Drosophila melanogaster: one gene and its partners. The gene in region 3 interacts genetically with the main gene of each other region. Each region holds a gene or a part of one and is shown on either strand. Other genes may lie near its edges. The genes, in order: rho, csw, spi and Sox21a.

What was found.
Region 1: of spi (region 3) and rho, changing one suppresses a phenotype caused by changing the other (phenotypic suppression), as found in Drosophila melanogaster (3 studies listed by BioGRID).
Region 2: of spi (region 3) and csw, changing one suppresses a phenotype caused by changing the other (phenotypic suppression), as found in Drosophila melanogaster (2 studies listed by BioGRID).
Region 4: of spi (region 3) and Sox21a, changing one suppresses a phenotype caused by changing the other (phenotypic suppression), as found in Drosophila melanogaster (2 studies listed by BioGRID).

Annotation. Positions count from the first base shown.
Region 1 is NT_037436.4:1,461,896-1,469,486, forward strand, and holds rho (rhomboid), read left to right. Parts: upstream 1-1,915; 5' UTR 1,916-2,235; intron 2,236-3,570; 5' UTR 3,571-3,591; coding exon 3,592-3,927; intron 3,928-4,594; coding exon 4,595-5,012; intron 5,013-5,144; coding exon 5,145-5,458; 3' UTR 5,459-7,049; downstream 7,050-7,591.
Region 2 is NC_004354.4:2,100,578-2,105,319, forward strand, and holds the start of csw (corkscrew), read left to right. Parts: upstream 1-1,711; 5' UTR 1,712-2,569; coding exon 2,570-3,198; intron 3,199-4,742. UniProt on the Drosophila melanogaster protein: Required in all receptor tyrosine kinase signaling pathways. Functions downstream of the receptor tyrosine kinase torso, acting in concert with D-Raf via tailless.
Region 3 is NT_033779.5:19,574,316-19,578,961, forward strand, and holds the start of spi (spitz), read right to left. Parts: upstream 3,001-4,646; 5' UTR 2,871-3,000; intron 1,273-2,870; exon of another isoform or gene 1,220-1,272; intron 1-1,219. Other genes in the region: msb1l, read left to right, coding at 3,483-3,659, 3,725-4,646. UniProt on the Drosophila melanogaster protein: Ligand for the EGF receptor (Gurken). Involved in a number of unrelated developmental choices, for example, dorsal-ventral axis formation, glial migration, sensory organ determination, and muscle development. It is required for photoreceptor determination.
Region 4 is NT_037436.4:14,102,946-14,109,674, forward strand, and holds Sox21a (Sox21a), read right to left. Parts: upstream 5,174-6,729; 5' UTR 4,863-5,173; intron 4,214-4,862; 5' UTR 4,130-4,213; coding exon 3,597-4,129; intron 1,943-3,596; coding exon 1,309-1,942; coding exon of another isoform or gene 1,252-1,308; 3' UTR 536-1,251; downstream 1-535.

The DNA of each region.
Region 1 (7,591 bases), on a different chromosome or scaffold from region 3:
CTGCAACAAAAAGTCGCGAAACGAAACTCTGGGAAGCGGAAAAAGGACACCTTGCTGTGCGGCGGGAAGCGCAAGTGGCGGGCGGAATTTCCTGATTCGCGATGCCATGAGGCACTCGCATATGTTGAGCACATGTTTTGGGGGAAATTCCCGGGCGACGGGCCAGGAATCAACGTCCTGTCCTGCGTGGGAAAAGCCCACGTCCTACCCACGCCCACTCGGTTACCTGAATTCGAGCTCGAGTGTTTTGGGTGGCTGAGATTGCTTTGGTACGGTGGCTGACCTTGCCAGTGCCAGTGGGTCCATGTCCGTGGAGTGCTGGCAATGCGTGTCTGGCACAATGAAAACGCAGCAATGGAGGATGGAGGAACTCGACCTGAGGGAACGTGGGAAAAAAGGATTTACGATGAAGATGAGCTGAGAAACTCCGAGCTGATGACGTGCCTGGTCATGGGCATGTAGTGCAGCAACTGTGTTTTCGTATCTGCTTACCTGTTGCACGCACATGTTAAAAAGTCATCATAAATCTCAGTGGACGAGGACGAGGACTCTGAATCTGTTTCGCCTCTCTTTTGCGCCCAGTGAAAATATTTTCACTTTTCATGCGGGAGTTTTCATGCCGCCGATGAGGATGACTGGCCAGGATGGGTATATCTATCTATTAGATCTGTGTAAATTCCCAGCTTATCATGCAAAACACGTAACCACGTCGTCTCGATCCTTTCGGCCAGGAAGCCGAAAGCTACTCCTTTTGTGCAACATGCCGTGGTGACCTTTCCCGCGAACTCGTGACTGCAACGGCTCAGGCTGCCTAATAATTTGTATAAATATTTATTTTTGCTACCGATTTCTATCTGCTCGCTCAACGCCTCCGAGGGAGCTCTCGCTGGAAAAGGTGTGAAATTCGAAACCCCTGACAATGATGATCTTCTACGGGGAATCGGGGAATCAAGGGGAATCAGGACGGGGCTCGGTTTCGAATTCGATTCCATGACATGTTCTGCATTGCTGAGCCGATATACTTTATTTGCATTTTTGGCCACTTGCAGTGGCACGTTCCCTTAAAAACAACAGAATTATAGAAGCAATGTTTTAGCTATTGAACGGTTACGTATCAATAGAGGAATTTTAAAACTATTTCTAAGCAAGCAAATAGTTTTGCTAGTTTTTTTAGTTTAGAAACTAATTTACATTACCATTGTGAGCAATTGTGACATTGAAGTTATTTCTGGAAACTATTCGAAAGTGCGGAGCTAAAGAAAAAGCGACTGCTACTACCGATTTCATCATCTTTAATTGTGTTAACAATTTGTTTGACTTTCTTGTCTTTGTTTAAAGGCATCGACGGGAAACTCAGCAAAACAATGGACTTGGTACCTTTACAAATACAACTAAAATGAGCTTAAACCTCTTCTAGTACGTTAATATATATTACTAGTAATAATATAAAATGAGATAAAAGTCGGTTTTGCTGAAAGGCAATTAAACGCAAAGGCCTTGCTAGAATTTCGCAACATTGCAGAGATTAGAGCTCAGATCTGCGTAGTAGGCCATGACAAAGCGCAGATCGCTGGAGATCGGCGAGAAGACAGAAGACAGAAGACGACGCATTTGTTAGTCAGTGGCATTGGCAAGAAGTGCTGGCCCGTCTGGATGAGTCATTCACCGTTATGTGGCAAGGCGGCAGATGGGGGAAACCAGTGAATAACCAGCGACGAAAAACCTTCGAACCGCTCGCCTCGAGCTGCAGCAGTCGAGTGACTGCAGTGCGCACACCCCACCCACCCACACAAGACAAGATCCGGATGTGCCATGCAACACTTATACGGCCGAACCAAAACACAACATGTTCGAAGTGGCTCTCTTATACTGCACCGCACAGCGAGCACTTATAAAGGCCGGCTGCCTTGCCTTTCGAAAGTCAGTTGCGTGCGAGCCGCGAGCGCGAGATCATCAAACTGAGAAAGTCGGACTGCGACTCGAAACTGAAATTGAAACTGAAAGAAAGAAATATTCAAATTGTCGTGTGTGTGGGTGCAAGCAGAGAATATATATCTCAAGAATATCTGAATACAAGCTCCTGGATTTACGAGCAGCAAAACTAAGTTACCAATGTGCGAGCCGAAAAAAGCGAGTGAAAAACGTGCGAATATGCCAGCTAACTAAAGACATTTGGATTACAAGAAACCCACGCATTTTGGATTATAAACATTGCGACAGGCAGAAAAACCTAAGGTAAGCCCCCGACCCTAATGAGAAAATGCGCGAGAGCTAAAAGATACAAGATACAAAATATGAGTTGCGAGATACAAGCTACAAGCCACAAGGGATATGCAAGAAATGTGCAAATTGCAATAGAAATTGTCACAGCGGCAAAACAAAAGCATTTCAACTTAGAGGCGTAATGAGTTTGTTCAACCTGTGTGCCCGCTCGCTCTATCTCTCTCGCTCGCACCCTTTGCCCGTTTTTTTTTTTAGGGGTGCGAGTGCAGCAGAAAGCATAAAAAATGCAAATTACACCGCGGGCCATGTGAAACTATGTTTCTGACCAAACAGACAAAAAAAAAAAATGAGAAGAAAGAAATGATGAAAAGAAGGCCGAATGAATTAATTCATTATGTCTTAAAGCCCGCTTTCGACATCTCTTCTTCATGCTCGCATGGACATTCGGTGCAGTCTGCAATTAAAGTTAATAAATAAATTAATTAATAAGCGGCCGACTGCGATTTCGTGCCTTATTGAAATTGCTAGGCAACCGAAATGAAGAACATGAAAAGAGCGCCAGCCAAGGCACGGCACCCACTCACTTTTTCGAGCAGTGTAGGTAGCAGACACAAAAGCAACAACGGTGCGTGTGTGCAATGCGACTTGAGGCGAAAGAGAGAGAGGGGGCATATGCGAACACAATGAGTGTGAGTGGGAGAAACGCGTTTTTTTAAGTTTATTTTTTTTTTTTTTGTTGAGCAAGGCAATGAATTTGTTATTTTTTTTCCTTGTTGCGACGAACAGTTGTTTGGGGAATTTAAGAAGATTTGTGCTGTGACTGTAATTGAATCGAATGCGATTAACATAATTTGTGAGGAAATGTCTCTGGGCAATGAATTACAATAATGCCTGGCCATTAGCTGATTAGTTGGCCATTAGCGAAGATGATTTCAGGGCTGAAAGTGCAGTTTATGTAACGGCGTAGATGCTACACAAGCTACATCTTCAATTTTGTCCAGCTAATTTCGGGCCACAAAAGCAAACTTGGCCCATCAAATTTTATGGTTAGCTCACACAAGCTGACCCAGTTTTCCCTTCGGGGAAAAGCAGCCAGGAAGTTGCAGGCATCGGAATCCGTGTCCCAGGCCATAAACAAAATTCTTACCCACAAAGAAGCAGGCTTTTCCTTCGCTTTTCTTTTATTTCTGCTGCATTTCCCCACACACTCTGGTTTTTCTGAAGTGTTGTAATTGCTCTTGTTTTGTGCTGCGTTTTATGAATAACTTATGCACTTAATTGATTTTTGTTTATTGTTCGGTTCAAGTTAATTAATTACACACTTTATGCGCTCCTCTCTTTCTCCAGAATTTCTTCAACGGCGCCAGCATGGAGAACTTAACGCAGAATGTAAACGAAACCAAGGTGGATTTGGGCCAGGAGAAGGAGAAGGAGGCGTCGCAGGAGGAGGAGCATGCCACCGCCGCCAAGGAGACCATCATTGACATTCCCGCCGCGTGCTCCAGTTCCTCCAACTCCTCGTCGTACGACACCGATTGCAGCACGGCGAGCAGCACCTGCTGCACCCGCCAAGGCGAGCACATCTACATGCAACGCGAGGCCATCCCGGCCACGCCACTTCCGGAGTCGGAGGATATCGGCCTGCTGAAGTACGTCCACCGCCAGCACTGGCCCTGGTTCATCCTAGTGATCTCCATCATTGAGGTAAGCACACACACAGCGAACTCAGTAACTCAACCCATTAAATCAAAGAAGCCGCAAACTTTCATCCCAAGAGCGATAAAAATGATATAGGGGGCGGAAAGCGGCGACGAAGGGCGGAAGTTTTCCGAGAGTTTTCCTCGCTTTTCGTGTTTCGTTTTCTGCGTCTGACTCGCTGGCGCCCCCGAAAATCGATTGTAAACAAGTTGAACAACAAAACAGCCGAAGGAAAAAAAGCGAACAGAAAAGTTTATGAAACCAGACCGTTCGTAGTTTTTTCTTTTTTTTATTTTTTAAGGGCAGACCAAAAATTGTCATGTGAAAAACAGTGGAAGATGAGAAGATGGAAATGATAGTTAGTTTGATAGCGAAATTGGTAACTTGGAACATTGAGTTTAAAATAAACAATACACTTTTACATGACCCCTTACATTCGTATTGGAAATAATTTGCTTCGTATAGAAACTAGCACGAATATCAAATAAACAGGGCGGCCCACGGGGCGTATGAGTTTAGTGAGTTTGAAGCCCTGCCAAGTTGGCAGGACTCGCCCCTAAGCATTCTCATAAGACTTTATTTGGAACGTGGTCGCGTGCCAGACAGCAACAACATAAATCAGAGCGAGAGCCCAGAACTAACCCCCAATTCTTTGCGTCTCTGTCCATTTTAGATTGCCATCTTCGCCTACGACCGCTACACAATGCCCGCCCAGAATTTCGGGCTACCCGTTCCGATTCCGTCGGATTCGGTGCTGGTCTATCGGCCGGACCGGCGTCTGCAGGTGTGGCGCTTCTTTAGCTACATGTTCCTGCACGCCAACTGGTTCCACCTGGGCTTCAATATCGTCATCCAGCTGTTTTTTGGCATTCCCCTGGAGGTGATGCACGGCACGGCCAGGATCGGCGTGATCTACATGGCGGGCGTTTTTGCCGGATCCCTGGGCACCAGTGTCGTCGACTCGGAGGTCTTCCTGGTGGGCGCCAGCGGTGGCGTCTATGCCCTGTTGGCCGCACATCTGGCCAACATTACACTGAACTATGCGCACATGAAGAGCGCATCCACGCAACTCGGATCCGTTGTCATCTTTGGTGAGTTTCCCCACACCTTATGACTAGAATCTATAGAACCTAATCTATCCTACCTAAACACGAATTTGTCACATCTTTTTCTTCTATGTTTAACTTAACTAACTTGAATCCCTTCTGTTCTTCCATTTGCAGTCTCCTGCGATCTGGGCTATGCTCTCTACACCCAATACTTCGATGGAAGCGCCTTCGCCAAGGGTCCCCAGGTGTCGTACATTGCCCACCTGACGGGAGCCCTGGCAGGACTAACGATCGGCTTTCTGGTGCTAAAGAACTTCGGTCACCGAGAGTACGAGCAGCTCATCTGGTGGCTAGCGTTGGGCGTCTACTGTGCCTTCACCGTCTTCGCCATCGTTTTCAACCTGATCAACACGGTGACCGCTCAGCTGATGGAGGAGCAGGGTGAGGTGATTACCCAGCATCTGTTGCACGACCTGGGAGTGTCCTAAGTTTGAGGTTCGGAGTCGTCAGCATGCTCGCAGGGATTCGGAATCTGCTTGAGCTTCAGGAGAGATCGAGAGACAGAGAGTTGGTGGAAAAGAAAAGTTCACTCAACGATTTAGTTCAAAACTAATTCGATATTCGTTTGGCTTTTGCTTTTCGTTAGCATTATCTCGTTATCGTTACCGTTTGCAGTTAAACGTTTCAGTTCCGAAACATAGTACACAAACTCAAAAAAAAAAAAAACAAATCAAGAGAAATACACTGGACAAAAAGAAAGTGCGAGGAGTGAGGAGAACATAAACCGAAGCCGAAACGTGTAAACAAATGTTGTGATAGAACCAAAGACTGAATTTATTTCGCGTGTAAAAACCAAGTAAAAATCAAGAGGAAAATCAAAGAGGAGAAACAGAACTAATCGCCTCTCGCTATGATTTAAATGATTTATCCATGTTTTCAATTAATGGTTTGTCTGTTTTCTTAAATTATGTATTTATTGGCCGCAATTACTACGAATGAATCGAATCGAAGCATCAGCAAACTGTATCAAATTGTTTATACATCCATAAGCATAATGTGCTCCGAATTGTAGGATTTAGTGTTATAATTTATATATATTTAGGTATAACTAGCCCTCCTAACAAATTGTTTCAAATTGTAAATACTATTAAGTCGCACACTAGTCAAACAACAACAACAGCAACAGCAAAAACAACAAAAAAAATATGGAAAACCACAGCAAAGAACCATTCAATTCAGATCAATTAAGCAAATCGAGTTAAATTAAATTAAATTATACTAAAGTCACTTAATGCGTTACAAAATCGAGCATCGTAATCCCCTACACACACACACACACACACACACTCGAAAGTATTACTAATTATATTTATTTATGGTAGGGCAGCGAGGGTTTATTAATTCGTCAATTGAGCGAACTATTTATTTATTTATTTATTTAATAATTTAGTGAAATTCACACAAACAAGCACGAAAAAACAACAACAACACAAGAGAGAGAAGAAACAAACCAATTCAACTGTAAAAATATCCAATTGAAAAATACACACGAAAAGCCAAAGAAAATAAAAAATCAAAACATTTCAAGAATACAACAGTAATAACAAAATACAAGCAAAAGCGTTTTCATTTCCCATTTTGTATTTTTATTTTACTTTCAGTTTTTGGCTGTCGGCTCGCTTGGTTTTAATTCCCACAATTTAAGGGCAATAAATAATCGAGCCAGCAGATTATCAAGATACTTGACATATTGACCGATACACATATATATATACATATATATATATATATATCGTACGCAAATAGAGAAATATTCAAAGTAATCGCCGAATGAAAACAGCTAATCTGGCATAAAGGCCAGCAAAGCGTAAGCCAAAATAGAATCCTTTTGGGCCACAAAACCCCAAGATAGCATACTCGATTTTCCAAAATAATGGATCCACACTCCACCCGATGAAAAAAAAAAAACAAAACAAAAAAATAAAATAAAACAAACTAGGAAACGGAAATGTTCAGCACGAGACAAGGGACAGAAGAAATGCAAATAGCAAAAAATTATAGATAAATAAATAAGGAGAGAAAAATTGAACAAAAATAAATGTCTAAATTATATATGAATTTCTCGTTTTCTTCACAAATAACTCAGGGCGAGTTGAGCTTGTGTATGTATGTATCCTCTGCTGGATGAGTTTTTTGGGGGGCAGCCCAATCAATATTTGCTCCACATAAATATGGCAATTCAAAGCGAAAGGTTGCAACTACAACTAAGACTCGAAGAAAATCCTTAATTAATACCCACTCCGCAGAAGACTTGTGTCAACGAATTTTCCCACTCGAATGTTGCCACTGCCACCAATCGATAGTTGCCCCAATATGAAATATGAAGGCGCAGCATACGCATTTTGTAATAATTCATATTGTCTGTGATTCCACATCTCATGCGAGTATTATATTCAATCCAACTGGATTAGCAGGACTAAGTCCATGAATTTCCAAATCGGCATTCAACTCGAAGGACTTGAAGCGAACCAAAAACATTTGCCAGCTGTTTGCGTTTAGTCGACTAATGCATACCTATTAGCAATAAGCACTTAATAGAAAACTAAAGCAGAAACATGCTG
Region 2 (4,742 bases), on a different chromosome or scaffold from region 3:
CATACTAACCATCCCCCGCCTCCGACTGAACAATAAATTATGTTTATTTCTGGCCCACTCCCCATCGCACCTACGAATGGTTTTGGCTGTGCCCAAATGCGGTCTGGGTCTCCAGCAACGAAATCGGGATAGCCAAGGTCGCGGAGCTCAGGAATGGAGCACTGGGGATACTGGGACTGGGCTGTCGCTCTGGCAACTGGTACCGATCAAGTTTATTTCTGGGTAGGGCGGCACTCACGGCACTCACTACTTCGCCGGAACTTTTAGTAATTCCATACGTAATGTAAACACGTTGGGTAGGCTATTGGTCAATGCCACTTCTAAATTGCGTTACCCGATCATTTCTAAGAACTTAAACTTGCGAATGGCCAATGTTGGCCTCGCTCTTAATTCTGTATCGATAGCAATCAGGTAGCTCAAATCATCTCTACTCACTTTTAATGCACTTCTCGTCTTGCATTTGCCATTGCAATGACTAATATTCTTAACCGACACCTAACTGCGCCCAGAAGCCCCATGTGGTTTCCACGGATCTGGTCCACCTGGCCTGGAACATCCTGTTTGCATTGATGCATGCATGCATAGCTACATGGGGTTTCCCCGACTGGTTTGAGCTGAGCATTTTCAATTTTGATCGAACACTTCGGAGACAATTTCCATTGAGTGGATTTTGAATGTGGTTTGGGTAACAAGTTCTAGTTGGTTTCCAGCGAAAAAACAATGACGAAATGTTGGAAAAAAAAAAAATAGTTCGTCATCGTTGGGAGGCATGAATACGAGGCTGGAAGTAAAGTGTTGCTAGATCGCAGTTCGCAGGCTGTCGCACGTCGAACGATTTTGTTTTGCTGGCCAAAAAAAAAAAAAAGATATTCTGCGCACGTTCGCACCTCTGACGTCTGCGCCTGCGCTGTAAGAGAGCTTTGGCACTGCTCGCTTCTAGCTCCCACTTACCCAACTACCAACCTGCCCACCTGCCCACCAACCCACCTGCCCCCCAGCAAACCCAGTTCCTTGCCTAGATGGCCGCCACAGTAGTTGCTGTGCGGCTTCAGTTTCATTTCCGGTGGCAGGCAACGGACGGCGCTAAAAGCGCTTTTTGTATTTGCTTTCTTACAAGCCAACAACACACTCATATCACGAAATGACCATTTTCGGATTGGAATTAATCTTATGTGCCTGCTTTTCGAAATGTGTATGATTCGGATTCTGATTGCGATGAACTCCATGACTCATCCAGGAGTACAGTCATTACGAAATAAACATAGAGTGGAGCCCGCTATACATATTTATAGGTATTAGCCTGGCTCTAGCACTTAATTGAAAGTAAATGAAAAGTAAAAGTGTAATTTTTTACAATGTTGATTGCAATTCAAAGTGCTTTCGCTTTCTGAATAAACCGTAAGTGGCGTCCACAGGATGGCTACAATTAAGTGGCGCCCGCTGAGGGGCCCAAGCAGTTTGATGATACTGAAACAGGAGCCCAGGGGAAAGCTGTGCACACACCCACTGCCAATCAATTTCAAAGTTACGTCTTTCGCTCCGTTTTATTTACTGTGTTTTTTTTTGTATTTGTTTGTGACTTCTGGCTCGCTGACAGTAAATAAAGCCCATAAATAAAAACACCCACCCACGAGATCGACAGGAAGGGCTAACCAGAGCGCCGGCTGGATTTAAAAACAAAAAGCGCCGTCCGCAGCCAGTCAAGATTCAGATTCATTCATACCCCAGCGCTTAGAACACCACCAGGCCACAGCTCCCGTCCGAGAGATATAGCCACTAAGAGAGAGCGGAAGAATCGAATCGCAAAGAGAGGAGCCGCGCTGAGACAACGTCAAGAATCCGATTTCGATTCCGATTGCGATTTCGAATCCGAGGCAAAAAGCTTCAGACTCGGCAGCAGGCGCTTCATTCTCGAGTTGTGATCCAACGGGTTAGCAGCTCAGCTCGCAAGCAGTCGCCGTTCGTCGTCGAGCGGCAAGCAGTTCGTTTCATTTCTACTGGGCGCCAGTACAAGTTCCATCGAGTGTTTTTGTTATTCGAAGGCAAAGCGCGAAAATTATGCCTTCAGCCACATTTGTCCTGGAGCATTTGATGGCGGCACAATCGCGACTCGACGAGCAGGCCGCATCCCCAGCAGAGGTCAAACCCACCAGCACCATCAACAGCAGCAGCACCACCGTGGCCAAGGCCATCAATGTCAAGTCGTACGAAAAGAAGCTGTTGCTGGCTCTCAAGAAGATTGTGCAATAATAAACGAATGCGGGGTAAACAGCACTCTATTTGACAAACTGTAGACATTTCCCCTAATCGAGCTGACTAAGATCAATAAAAAGCAAACAGAGAAGCACAACAAACAGCGGCAAAAAACAAAAACCAAGAATTCTAGTTTTTGTGCTTTCAGTGTGTGTTCGTGTGTGTGGGCAAGTTGTTACATAAAACAAAAACAATAACAAAATAAAAAAAAAATAATAAAAAAACACCCCAGCCGAGACGCATTTTTCCGCAGTGGAATACTACTATCTAAGCTTCTTTTTGTTTTGGTGTGTGCGAGAAAACGAGTGTGAAGAAAATGCTGTTCAACAAATGTCTGGAAAAGTTGTCCAGCTCGCTGGGCAATGTGGTCAATCACAAGCTGCAAGAGAAACAAGTCTACAACAACAACAATATCAACAATAACAATAACAATACGCTAAACAACAACAATGCCTACAACAATCAGCGAAACTTTGAGTACGAAAGAGCCATACAGGCGCACTACGGAAGCAAGGGAAGACGCTCGGAGGAGCGCGAAAGGAGCGGCAAGTTCAAGGCCAGCAAGGGTCGGAAAGCAAAGGTCACCCCACCAACGGAGACACCCGAGGCCCAGGAGCCGGCCTGCAAGAACTGTATGACCCACGACGAGCTGGCCCAGATCATAAAGGGCGTGGCCAAGGGCGCTGACGCGCAACGTAATCGAGACAACCGACTGCAGCGCAGACGTCGTCCTCTCTCCGCCCAACCCTCCGCCGCTGCCTCCGCCTCCACATCGACGGAATCTCTGCACCGTCTTACACCCAGCCCGCAGGCTTCCTACCCGGCCACGCCCACCTCCTGGACAGCCACACCGCCCCAGTTCCCAGCCGCCTTCGGCGGCGCCAGCTGCTCCAACAGCACACTGTCCCTCTTGGCCACCATGCGCGTCCAGCTCCATGGTTACACGTAAGTTCAGGTCGCCCAAAAAAAACGACAGCAGTCCAGTCCAGAGTGTTAGAAAAAGAGCAGCGTTCTGCTAATTTGGGGCGCGTGCGAAATTAGGCACTAATTGTTATTGGAGTGCGAGTAATGAAGTTGTCAGGCTGCCAACTAAACGATACCCCGTAGCAGGTGAAATGGTATTTTGAGCTACCATCGCATCGTAGTATGTCGCCCCGCCTGTCAGTCACATGTCGCGGAGTAGCAGATGATTCGCGGGAAATCTGGAGACAATCTGCTGCCCATCAACATTAACCCTAATAAGGCAGGCAATCACAGGCAGTTGACGCCGCAACAAAGCAAAAAAAAAAAAAAATCAGCGCAGCACATACTGTCATGTGTTCAGAATTGCCACGCAAAATGAGTAAATATTTACGCAAAGCATTCGACTCGAAAACAAGCAATCGTAAATTGACGTTCTAATATGAATGAATTTCCGACTGTCAAATGCCGAAGTGAAGTGAAGGGAGTGGAATGGCAAATGGCAGGGGGCCCAGCTCAGATCGCCACTCAAATATGGTCACATATCAACATATCAACCCCCCCCACACAATTGGCCCGTTGTCAAGTTGTGTTTCGATATTGGTTCTTTCATTTAGAGCTGAAGATTGAGTTATTGGTTAGGCACTGGCTAAATTACGCACTTGTAGAACCGGGAGAGTTCGGCGAATTGCCCACTGCAGACATCGTATCTTGGCCCACTGCCAGATCGGAATTATCTCTTCACTCGCGCCCGGAATGTTTACCCATGTCCCGCTGTTGCGCTGTCCGTCGTCCACATTCCCCAAAGATTCCATCCCACTCCGTGTCTGATCTTGGTGTTTATCTGCCCGGCTGTGCCATGTGCCGTCCGATTGTTTGTGTGGGCTGGCCCCATCTTGGCGATCTCGATTCGCACAGTACACCCAGAAAACAATCGCATATGTATCTGCTGGACTATTATTATGTCCCATAAATTATCTTTGACTTTTAGTTGAGCTCGGATTGGTAGTGCAGTCGGTTTCGGTTGTTGCTTATTTATTTATTTTGATTTTTATCGCAACGGATTCATAATCGCTGAACGTGTTGATTGGCTCGTTAACTTGATCTTTGTTTTTCTAATTTATGCTCAGCTTTTATAGGTATCCTGCTTTAGGGCGATCTTTTCGTCGTTATCCTAAAACGCACATCATGCCAAATGATCTGAAGATGATGTGCCAATAGCTTTGACAGCTTAAGCTGCGTGATTTCCGGATTTCACTTGTCACACTCACTAGGTCAACAATGGGGCACCGCCGTCCTCTGCCCTCCGCCTTGTAGAACTATTAACCTTCCGATGGTTTTTCTTCTCGCCATAAGGCTGATTAACGATTTATGAAATTACATTTCCCGTAATGGATTTCGAGCGCTGCCTTCTGTTTTGCATATTTCCGTTTATTTGTCCGTTGCACAACCGTGAGCTGTGGCTACTGATCAAATAAAAGCGTTTAATTTGTGCAAATTCATAACGTCGGCCGACTACAAGATGCTCT
Region 3 (4,646 bases):
TCTGCATTTGTGCATTCCCATTCCCAATCCGATTCCCCCATCAAGTTGTGCTTCTTTGCCACACCGCTTTTCTGCCCCTTTTGCGGTGTTCTGTTGCTTTGTTGATGTTACAATTGTTGCACTTGTTGTGTGCGGCTTAGGACGTTGAACCACAGCCGGCAGAAATGCAGAAATGCACGCAACTGAGTGGCAAGTGTACAGCTGCAGTCACAGCACTAGCAATGCTTTGCGAAGGATTCCTCCAGACCGCTTTGTAATTGGTTTTCTTTCGCGTAATTTGGCCGATATTAGTTAGTTCATATCTGCAATCTAAATGTTACGAACCAGCAGAGTTCCTAGAGCCCTAGAGACATTAATGTACTTTTAATTGCCCCACTGTATGAATTTTTTTCAGTGCATTCTTGCAATTTGCTAACGTTTTTACCGCCATTACCGTCATTGTCGTATATATTTGTATGCTCATTCGGAAAGCCAATTCGAAGGCAATGCTAATAAAATCAATAAACAACATTACTGTCACGCACACATACATACATACATATGCATATAGCTTGGATGTCCGGTTGAAACGATGACGATGAAAGGTCACGACGAAGAATTTTTCGCCAATTGCCTGGTGGGTCGCACAGTCTGGGTCGCGAGACGTCTGACTAGACAACATGCAAATAGTAACGGTAATCATTAGACGCACACACTCGCACCTATTTGCATGCACACTCTCTCTGGCTGTGGTTCTGGTCGTGGGCCCCCATATTTCATCTATCTCGCGGCCGCTCTTTCTTTCGCTCACCATTTTCTATGCTGAGTTCGACGGCCTTCTTACGTAAAATCAACAACAACGCTCTGCGGTATTTCTCTTCTAATAAGCGGGTGCTTGGGGCTTGGGGTTGGGGGGATGTGCACTCGCCGACAGAGTTGCCATATCTAGCCAGACATCAAACTCGTTTTCACTGTTTTGGCTCCACACACACACACACACACGCATGTGAGTGGCTTTGCAACTGTACAAGAACAATAAGTAGGGGCAGCATAAAAGCAACAACACACGGCGCAGACGCCAAGCAACCGCTCCCCTCCCAACGCTCCACTCAATGTTTGTCTGTCTGTCCGGAACGTCTGTTTATGTATGCTTTAGGCGTATACATGCATGAGTGTGTGTGAGCAATTTTTATTTTTCTGAATGTAAAGGAAGTGGCACGTACTGTACTACTCAACTCACCGCTGCCGCAACAACAAGAGCAGTGACAGCCGGATCAGGCTGGGAATTCGAATAAGAGCGGAGCGCGTCGCATTCGGATGTTCCGATTCCCCATCGTTCCCAGCCGCAAAGCGGTCAGCGTTCCAATGCCAACGGCACAGTGGTTGCGATGCGTAAGGTAACGTGCTACGGAACCGAAACTCGCGGATGATCGTAAGTGGGAGATATGTACGTGGGATAAGAGCGAAAGTAGACGGATATCCGATTTGCAAAAAGATGTAGTATTAATTTAAAATGTTTAGAATAACAAAAATAAGCTAACAAAACTATAACCATGACAAACTATGACGATAACAATATATTTGCTATGCGTTACGATTTACAAACTTTGAATACTTTTTAAAAGATGCTTATTTAGGATCGATCCATTGTGCAGCGAGATGAGCGGAACGAAAGGCGAAAGGGACGCTGGTTTGCGTCTCCGCTGTACGCCAGACAGACAGACAGACAAGACGCCGCAATATTATAAACAGGAAATGGAATTTACCCACACGGATGCAGCGCGGTGAAGTGTGTGTCTGTGTAAATTGCTGATGAGCCGACAAACGGACGTGGTGCTCAATTGACAGATGAGCACGAGAGAGACAGGCAGAGCATAGCACACCGCCGAATGAGCGAAGGAGAAGGCCAGAGCGCGCTTCAAAGTTGATTGAAATCAATATACGTACATACGTATGTATACACACATAGCGTGCCGGTGTGAGTGTGCTAAGACCGCTCGTGGAATGTTTGAAAAACGCGGTCAAGCGACGGGAAGAGCAAGAATGTTGAACTCTGGAAGTGGGAAGAAGTTTCTGTAAATAGAAGCCAGGTGGAAGGGGCTTTTGCACCTGCCACGCCCAGCAGCCCCTGGAATCAATTAACATGTTGCACAACTGCAGCGGCTCCTATATACATAGTTCATATAATGTACTTGTGATACAGTGACTTACGCACACAGAGGTGCAATTGCAGATGGCGACGAGTGTAGCGTGTAGTTTTTCTCGGAAATGAGCAATGAATGAAATTCGGTTGTTTTCAGTACTCACACGCACACGAACGCAGATGCATACACTCGCAATTTGGAGCAAGAGAGAAAGTCTGCACGACATGCGCTCTGGCGTTTGTGTGTATACAATTTGCTTACTTTTTGCGCTACAATTGGCAAATAAAACAATAGCGCAATTTTACGCAGCACTTTAGCTTACTAACCCACATTGATGGCTCCACAAAGCGAGCAAAATAATTTGTCTGCCTAATTGAAATAAAATAAATAAAACTAAGCAGAAAAAATGTCGGCAAAAAACAAGGCGCAGCTGTATTGTGCGCTAGTGTGTGTAAAAAGGAGACGGCCATAGAAAAAAAAAACACATATACACACAGGAGAATTTACTGCTGCTTGCGGCGCCCACACACACATACACAAAAACACTCGCCTATTTAGTACAGCAACTGCGTAAATTCAATAAAAATAGTCATCTGGAGTAAAAAAACCCAGTTTCCTGTCTTCATTTCCCTTTTTCCGTGAAGGTACACAGTCACTACTGTTATAATTTAGCACACACACTCGCGCATTTATGTATGCATTTGGGTTGCTTTCATTTGGATGTTTATCACTTACTTTACCACTTACTTTGGGATTTAGCTCTTCGTTTGTCGCACTTTTTTGGCCTGTTTTCATGCCATTTTCTTTTTGAAAAACTGAAAGAGTACAATTCGTTGTGTCGCGTCTTAAATGAACAAGTGTTGCCAGACTTTAGCTGGAGGGAGATGACACTATCGCGAGGCAGCATAAAAATCAGTGCTGTAAAGCGAAATTAAAAAAAATATCTGATAACTTTAATATTAGTTTATTTGTTTACTGAATTTTACATTTTCTTATGTACTATAAATAAAAATCAATTCATAAATTTATTTGAGAGGAGTAAAACAAGAAGAATCCACCTAAACATTACAGACTTAAGTTCTAAATATCCCAAACGTTGTTTAATTTCTATTTATATTTGTAACGATTAGTTAGTTATTAGTAATAATGAAAGAACTAGTGATAAAATCCATTTGTAATCACTGCTAGAATTGGCTTGAAAATAGCTAGACTGACGTTAACAATACTGTTACCAGTTGGCATTTCCTGATCCGGCAACTCCACACGACGCCATTTCAAAACAAATGCGCGGCAACGATTTTATTTTACCCCGCAACATTTAGTGAGAAGTCGCAAAATAAGTCAGATTATTTGATTAAAATGGGAGCAAAGGCAACAAAAATGGAAGGTGAATATCTGCCGGATACGCCGACACTAAACAAAATGCGCCTGGCCAGCGAAAAGCGAGAACAAATGGAAATGACGACGCCGAATCGAGAGCAAAACAACGCTTTGCTCGATCCTCGATCACCAAATGGCTGCCGCACGCCTTTAACCGTGAGTTTATAGGCATTAGGTATTTTTTGATATTACTAACCCTAGTAATGATGGCTGCGTTGTAGTTCTTGCAGGCGTCAAAACCTCGCGTTGAGGAGGAGGAGCAGCATGTGACCACCAGTGAAAATGCCTTCTCCATGCTGCGAAAACGTTTGCTCAAGGGCTTCTCCCTGAACGATCCTCGCTCTCCTCAGCTGAATCGCACTCCACTGGTCCTCGATGAGGTTCGTTCGCTTAATATGGATGACACATTCGCCGATCTCTTCGTGGACACCAGGGTGGGTACAGCACAGAGAGCAGTGCCTGCATCACCGCCCCAAGTGGATTTAGAGGAGAGCTGCGATAGCTTCGGCACACCGCCGTCTGCTGCACACAACAATATTTCCCTGGAGATTGTTTCACTGCCCTATGATCAGGAAGAAACCTTGCCTTGCGAGCAACAGCTGCTGCCGTATCAGGAGCCGAATCTGGAGCAGGGCCAGGTGAAAATGGCCACGCCCCCGCCAGAACAGCAGCCCCATGGTGATCCCCGATCGCCCAGCCTGGGCGTCGATCGCACACCCATCATCTTCTGCGACGACGAGGAGGAGGAGGCACGCGAGGCCCAGATGCTGGAGCACATCCTGGAAACACTGACCCTGAATCTCAGCACTGGCAGCAGCATGGCCTCCTTTGTCGCTGGCGAGGAGCAGCTACCAGAAGTGCCGTCGAACAAACATTTGGAGCGAGTGCGTTTGGGTCACAAGCGTCGTGTGCCACCGCGCAAGCCCGCCAGAGCCAACAAGCCAAAGATCTATGTTGACCAAGAGGAGGGGTCCCCGGTGACCGGAGGATCCATTACGCCCAAGACAAACAGTACCCCCCTGTCCGCACAAAAGCGAACTCCACTCAGTTGCGTTAAGAATAAGCCGCATCTGCGATCCCGTTCAATGGAAAAGGATTCTAAGAAGAATCAGATTCCGCCCGCGCAGAGCTTCAACGATCAAC
Region 4 (6,729 bases), on a different chromosome or scaffold from region 3:
TTTATGGGCGGCTTTTCAGCTGGTTACGATGCTGTCGCGATTGCCCTGTACCGCCAAGCTGTCTATATTCCACCCAACCCACCCAGAGAAAAGTCCAATAATAGTGGTGGTTGCTGCTTTGTTTTGTGCAGTGCCTCAGACAAAAAAGTGCCAATTGTTTTTGGGCCGAGAGTTATTGACACGCCTCGACGGTGAGCGCTTCACAGTTGGCCGCTTAAACAAGTGGGCGTGAAGGAATCCCATTAAGGACGATCGCCACCCTTCCGAAACGGCAGACAATCCTGGCCATCGTCATCCATTCATCCCCGCGGCGTGTCGGCAATTTAAACTAATAATCAACGCATCAGCAAACATTGTCGTTATATTCACAGAAGCCTGTGGCGTTTGGCGGTGACTCCTTACAGATTGCAAGCTATGATTTTCACTCACATGCAAACCAGGTCTCTATAGGGTTCTTCAATCCTAAAACTATTGTTACAATTTTGCCATAAATCCCAATGCCATGCTTTATTCAAGTACACTGTTTAAAAATCGTGGAATTTCACACTATTTTTAATTCGATTTCTGCTCTTTCATTTATCACATTAAAGTATAGTTTTACAATCATATATTACATAAAAGTGGACATGTTCTCGATGCCTTAACAAATCTAATGTACTTTAGATCTAATAAGCCATTTGTTTGGGTTCCAGAAATTGATAACAAAGATTGTGAAATCCTTAAATTAGGTATGAATAAAACCATTTAAAATGTGTTTTAAGCTGATTCAAAGCTGATTAATTCAAAGATTTATCGAAAGAATTGAGTTATTCATATAACAACATATCAATAAAAATATTAAGTGCAGTTTAAGTAATATGTACGAATTCAAATGATGTTGTGAATTTTAATAAAATGTCAAAAAATATATATAAAATATATATATATAAATTATAAGAGACTACTAAGTGTTATTTCTTAGCTAAGATTTTTTAAAATTTCTTTGATTTAAAATGTCTATTGCTTTTCGAGGCCGGACTTAACTTCATTATTTGTCAAAAAATGTCAGTAAATTGAGATTTTGAATGTAGTTTTAAAATTAATCATCTAAAATAGTGAAGCAGCACTAAATCAGAACCAAAAACATAATTATAGTAGCAACTAAAGACGTGCATTAATATTCGTCTAACACTAGGCTCTAACATTAGGACTTTTAACTTTTGGAGAGGAATGGTAAAGTTTACCATCCAAATTCCCTCTGTGGTGCTCATCCTAGACCACGTGTTCCGCGGATGAGGAGGTGCCGGCGCCGAAGCGCAATGGAGTCGGTCAAATGATGTTTGGCGGACTGGCCGCGCTGGCCACTACCGCATTTGGTGAGGACTTCTCTGACTTGACGCATCCGTAGGATGAGATGCCGGTACCGCTGCTGCTGGGCGGGGAGGGTGGAGTTTCCGGACTTATCAGCGGCAGATATCGCCACGGGTGGTAGATGGAGCCGGCGTACATCGCCTGGAGGCGCGCCTGTAGGTCCAGGGCCAACGTGGGATCCAGTGGATAGTGGGCGAGGCCGGGAAAGGCATTCGGCAGGCGGGGCAGCGATAACTCCAGTGGCGAACCAAAACCGTACTTGGCGCTCAAGGTGGCGGCGGCCAGCTGGACATGATGTGGATGAGGATGCGGGTGGTGTGGATGCGATTGATATGGTGACTGGTGCGGATGTCCGTGGAGATGTGGCAGCGACTGACCCAAGGGCGACAACTGGGGCTGCATATCCTTGGGGGAGCCAACTGATCCTGGGCCACTGGGACCGGAGTTACCCGCACCACCAGCGTTGACACCACCGTTGGCACCACCTCCACCGCCGCCACCACCACCACCTGGCACCGGTGACTTGTTGAGCGTCTTGGGCTTGCGACGTGGTCGATACTTGTAGTCGGGATGTTCTTTCATGTGCAGAGCCCTGTAAATTAAATAAATGTTGAAACACTGATCAAAAGATCGAACGATTTAAGCTTTGATGATATCATAAAGTCAGCCATCTCTGGTCGTAAACCCCAAGAGAAGCGGAACCCTTCCATAAACCCCACGCCAGGCAGATACAAAATGCACAAGTTTATATTGTGTATTTAGCGAAGAACCAGCACTCCGATTCCAACTTCGATTCTCTTTCCGATTTCCCAGCTGCAACAATGCGCAATTGTTGACATTTGTTTGACATAACGATAAAACCTGATAAAAGGTGTGTTTGGGTCGCCTCCTCTTGTTTTACTTTCGCTTTTCTTTATTTTGTTTTCCTTTCTTTGGTCAGTTATGGCCTCCTTATCGCGGGTCCCGAAAAAAAATATTGTTTTCCTTATCATCGCGCATTGGCAAATATTTGATCAGAATTTTTGGTTCTTTTCATTCGATATGCTCGCTCGAAAACCCCGAATGGCCATTAGTTTAAGCCCCTTCTGACGAGCCCTGATCATTTATAAATGTCATAAAATGTAAGTAAAATTTAACATTTCCATTTTGGCAGGCCAATCCAATCAATAAAAGGATTATGACAGTGCAAACACAGAGGTTCGTCATCATAAAAGACCGCACTATCTAGGAAGGCATAGAAAAAACGAACTTGTGAGATACGGCATTTCTGGGAATTCCTGTGGTTTAAAAGTGCACTGCAAATTTTGATTCCATTTATACCAATACAACTTATTTAAAAGCTAGTTTTATAAAAAATAAAATAATGTGAGATATCACTTTTGTACTTATTTGTAAAATGCTCGCTTTTGAGTATATTTCTTGTACAAAGAACTCCATTCTAGCGGTATTTTCAGTTAATCCCGATAATTACGTTTATTAAAACTAAGCTCAAACTGAAATTACTCAAACCCTTTCGAAAGGGTACACTGAATGGGTTAAGCACACAAAAAGAAGCAAAATGCAAAATGAATGGAGCATTTCATGCGACGTGTTGCCTCGCTTTTGTGTGACAACTTCAATTGAAATGTTTACCCAAGATATGGCAGTGCCAATGAAATTCTGACTAAGCAGAGCGGACACAATCCCCGACTCCAGAGCTCCGCAATTCAGCAGGAGCTCCTCACAATAGGTAGCCTTTGTCTTAGCTAATCGATCAAATTTTGTGGCCAGACGGCATCTAGTGAGAATGAGCTACCAACTGGGAAAATGGTAACCGAAACCAAGCCAGAATTTCCCATCCAACCTACACCACTCTGCTCCTGCATAAGCCGGCACAGAAAAAAAATGTATATCGTGTGGACTGAATAAAATTGAATAAACAAAGTAATTCTTATATCCAAGAATAGAAAGCGGAGGTAACTACAAAAAATACAAGAACTATGTTTTTCCTAGTTTAAATTAATATAGGATTACTGCAATATGATAATCTGTGATTTTTAACATCAATGGGATCCATATCTTTTTATTTTTTTTAAATATAACTTCGCCCTAATAAACCCTATTAATAATAGACTTGGAAAATTAACTTTTGAATTGAAAGGTAAGGACTTTTCCAGGTAAGAAAATACTCTTATTTCTGTTTACAAATTTAGTACATACATATTTTCTCAGTGCTTTTTAACCAGACCCCAGTGAACAATACTTACCGCAATCGTTTTGCCTCGTCGATGAATGGACGCTTCTGTCCTTCGGTGAGTAATTTCCACTCGGCGCCCAGGCGTTTTGATATTTCAGAATTGTGCATTTTTGGATTGTCCTGGGCCATTTTGCGACGCTGCCCCCGCGACCAGACCATGAAAGCGTTCATTGGTCGCTTAATGTGGTCGTGGCTGTTGTGATGGCTTCCAGTATTCGAATTCGAGTGGCTGGTCGGGGCATTATGGTGGGAGTTGCCATGGTGGTGCGTGTGCTGGTGCATTTTGGGTGCCACCGGAGTGGGGGCCGCTGGCGGAACGGCGAGGTCAGCTGGCGGCATCGGTGGTGGGGTGGTGTTTCCCGATCCAGAGCCTACTCCCACACTCATACCCATGCCCAAGCCACCGACCATGCCCAAACCCAAATTGATGCCGGGCAACTGCGGTGAGAGACTGCTGCTATGGCTGTGATTGCTACTCCCGCTGCTCGTGTAACCATTGCTGTGGCTGTGGCTCCGATGGAGCAGGGCCGAGATGCTCGTCATGATGCCGGGCGCGGAGTCAAGGGACTCCAATGGGGGTGCAGGTGGTAATTATCAGGTGGTAGTGCTGCAGCTGCTCCTCGAGCTCTGAAATGCCAACGGAAATGGTATTCAATAGATATGCCTTGTTAGCTTGGGGACTCTGTCTGCTGCTCCCTGCATGAGTCATTTGATTGGAGCTCTTCGCACTGCGAATAGCTTACCAAAAATATGCACAATGGAACTCCATTTACCCCTTCTAATGTGTGTGTACAGGGGGCTCAAAATGGTGTCCCGGTTTTATGACAAACCAATTTAAATATTTACCAGTAATTCAAATCAGTTTTCAGTATTGAGTATTTGCAAAATTGGGGATTTCCCTTAAATTAATATTATCCAAAATATATTCCTTGAAGAACGTATATTTGCATATTAACAGTACTGCCAAATTCGATTTCAAATGATGAATTAATTAAAGATTGGATTGGAAAATGATATATTTTTTAAAACAGGCTTTTCTAACATTGAAAATTGCAAATATTCATAAAATTCATTATATATTTCATATCCTTATAAATCTTTTGGTTTCTTTTTTAAGAAAATATATTTGTTCGCTTATTTCGCTTTTTTAAAGTGTTTAGTTTTTGGGGAGGAGTGTGCAATAGTTTAATTTAGAGCACAGCTTTTTCTTCATTTCATATTTAAATATTCGAATTGTTTACCTAGGGACCTTTTCTCATCATCATAATTAGCTTACCTGTATTAATTGTCTTTTAATTTCTCCCTAATAAAGTTTAAATTTGGATTCCATCCGATGCGTGACACTTAACTATCTAATTAATTGCACAAGAGTTTACGTTGCGATCGAGTTCTTTTTGTTTATTAATATTACTAGGTTAATTATTGTTGATCGCCATTAGAACTCCTAAAAATACACAAGTGCACTGATATGAATTTTTAACTTATTTTCCAAACAGTTCGAGATTTATAGAGCCTCGAATTTACGAACGTTGAAAGTATTTAAACCGTTAGACTGCCGATTCACCGTTAGCCGAGCGCAGCGCGTCCGTTTCGAGTGCGCGACAATTTAGATTTGAAAACACATTCGAAAACTTGCGACAAAAACGGCAAACAAACGCAACAAAAAGGGGCAAGAGGAAGAACGTGGGTGTTTGTAAGTATGAGGGTGTCTCTGTAGTGGTTGGTCGCTGCTGCGTCGCTGCCGCCCAAAAGGACCGAGTGGGAGCGAGACAAGGCGAGAGATAGTGCAAGGGAGAAGGGTCGCGCAAGTAAGAGAGAGAGAGAGAGAGAGAGAGCGCGCACATTTTGTAGAGTTTTTTACACCTTCGGAGGACGCGTCAACGTGGCGGCTAAGTGATAAAAATTCGCTGCTGCTGCTTTGTATCTTTGTATCTGCGTTTTGTATCTTATTGACAATAGTCTCCGGGTTTGTTTTCGTTTTGTGTGCACGTTTGCATTCTTGTTTACCAAACATTGCTCCTTTTGCTCTTCGCCAGTTGATGATATCTGCATTTTTTATCAAAACCGTAACACAAAAATAATTTTGAAAATTTGAATAGCCCAATAACATATTTCATATTAAGCTACCAATATCAATTTTTATTGTAAATATAAATAGTTTTCTTTGAAAAATTCAAGAAAATTCCGGCTAGTTCTGAGAATTTCGCTGCTATATTTATTTACAAAATATTAAATCATAAATTGGTACGTTTATAAAACACTTTATTATTCAGTTCTGTTTTTCTTCTATGCATTTGTGATCCAAATAAAAGGCATAGTTAAACTACTTTATAGCTCTTCTTAACTATGGAATGAGAACCCATTTTTAAGATGTCAAAAAAATGCCTTGATTAGTTTATTTAAATGGAATACAAAACGGAGTGGCAACAATCAATCGAATGAAAAATACACTTTAGCTTTTGAATCTTATACTACAATTAACCAAATATTGGATACTTACTTATATGCATGGTCTACACTATATGGTTATGGCACTATAATTTCTTACTGTGTATTAGACCGGTGTTTGCTCTCACAATCGATCGGTGGCTTATTTGGTATGTTTGCTGCAAGCTTCGGTATCCGCAAGATTGGCCCTTTTTGTTGGCAGGGTTGGGCCGCTTATTTCAATTGCTCTCCTTGTTTGTCACACACAGGAAATTCTCAATTCTTGTTGTTGCTGTACCAATAACGATTTCTGTATAATTGCAACGATTAGAAGCCCTTGATCCCTTAATAGTACCACCTTTATACATTTGCTAAAATTTCTTATAAATGCCGCTCTTTATAATTGACGGTTTCAATGTTCCGCCAACGGAGCTTCTCCCTTGACGAATACTAAGAAATTAGACAATTTTCCCGGTGTTTACAGTGTAATGTCAATAGAAAAGTGTGTAATATGCTAGGTATAGTACATCCGGAACAATAATTTCCCGATCACAATTAATTTTAATTAAATATGCTTTTGCAATAATATTTAACGATTATTGGGACTATTAGCAACATTTCCACAGTATATACTAAATCTTCAAATTAATTTGACCTAGAAAGTAACAAAAACAACATTTTAAAGATAAATGAATCGTCGCAGTGCTTTTTATTTT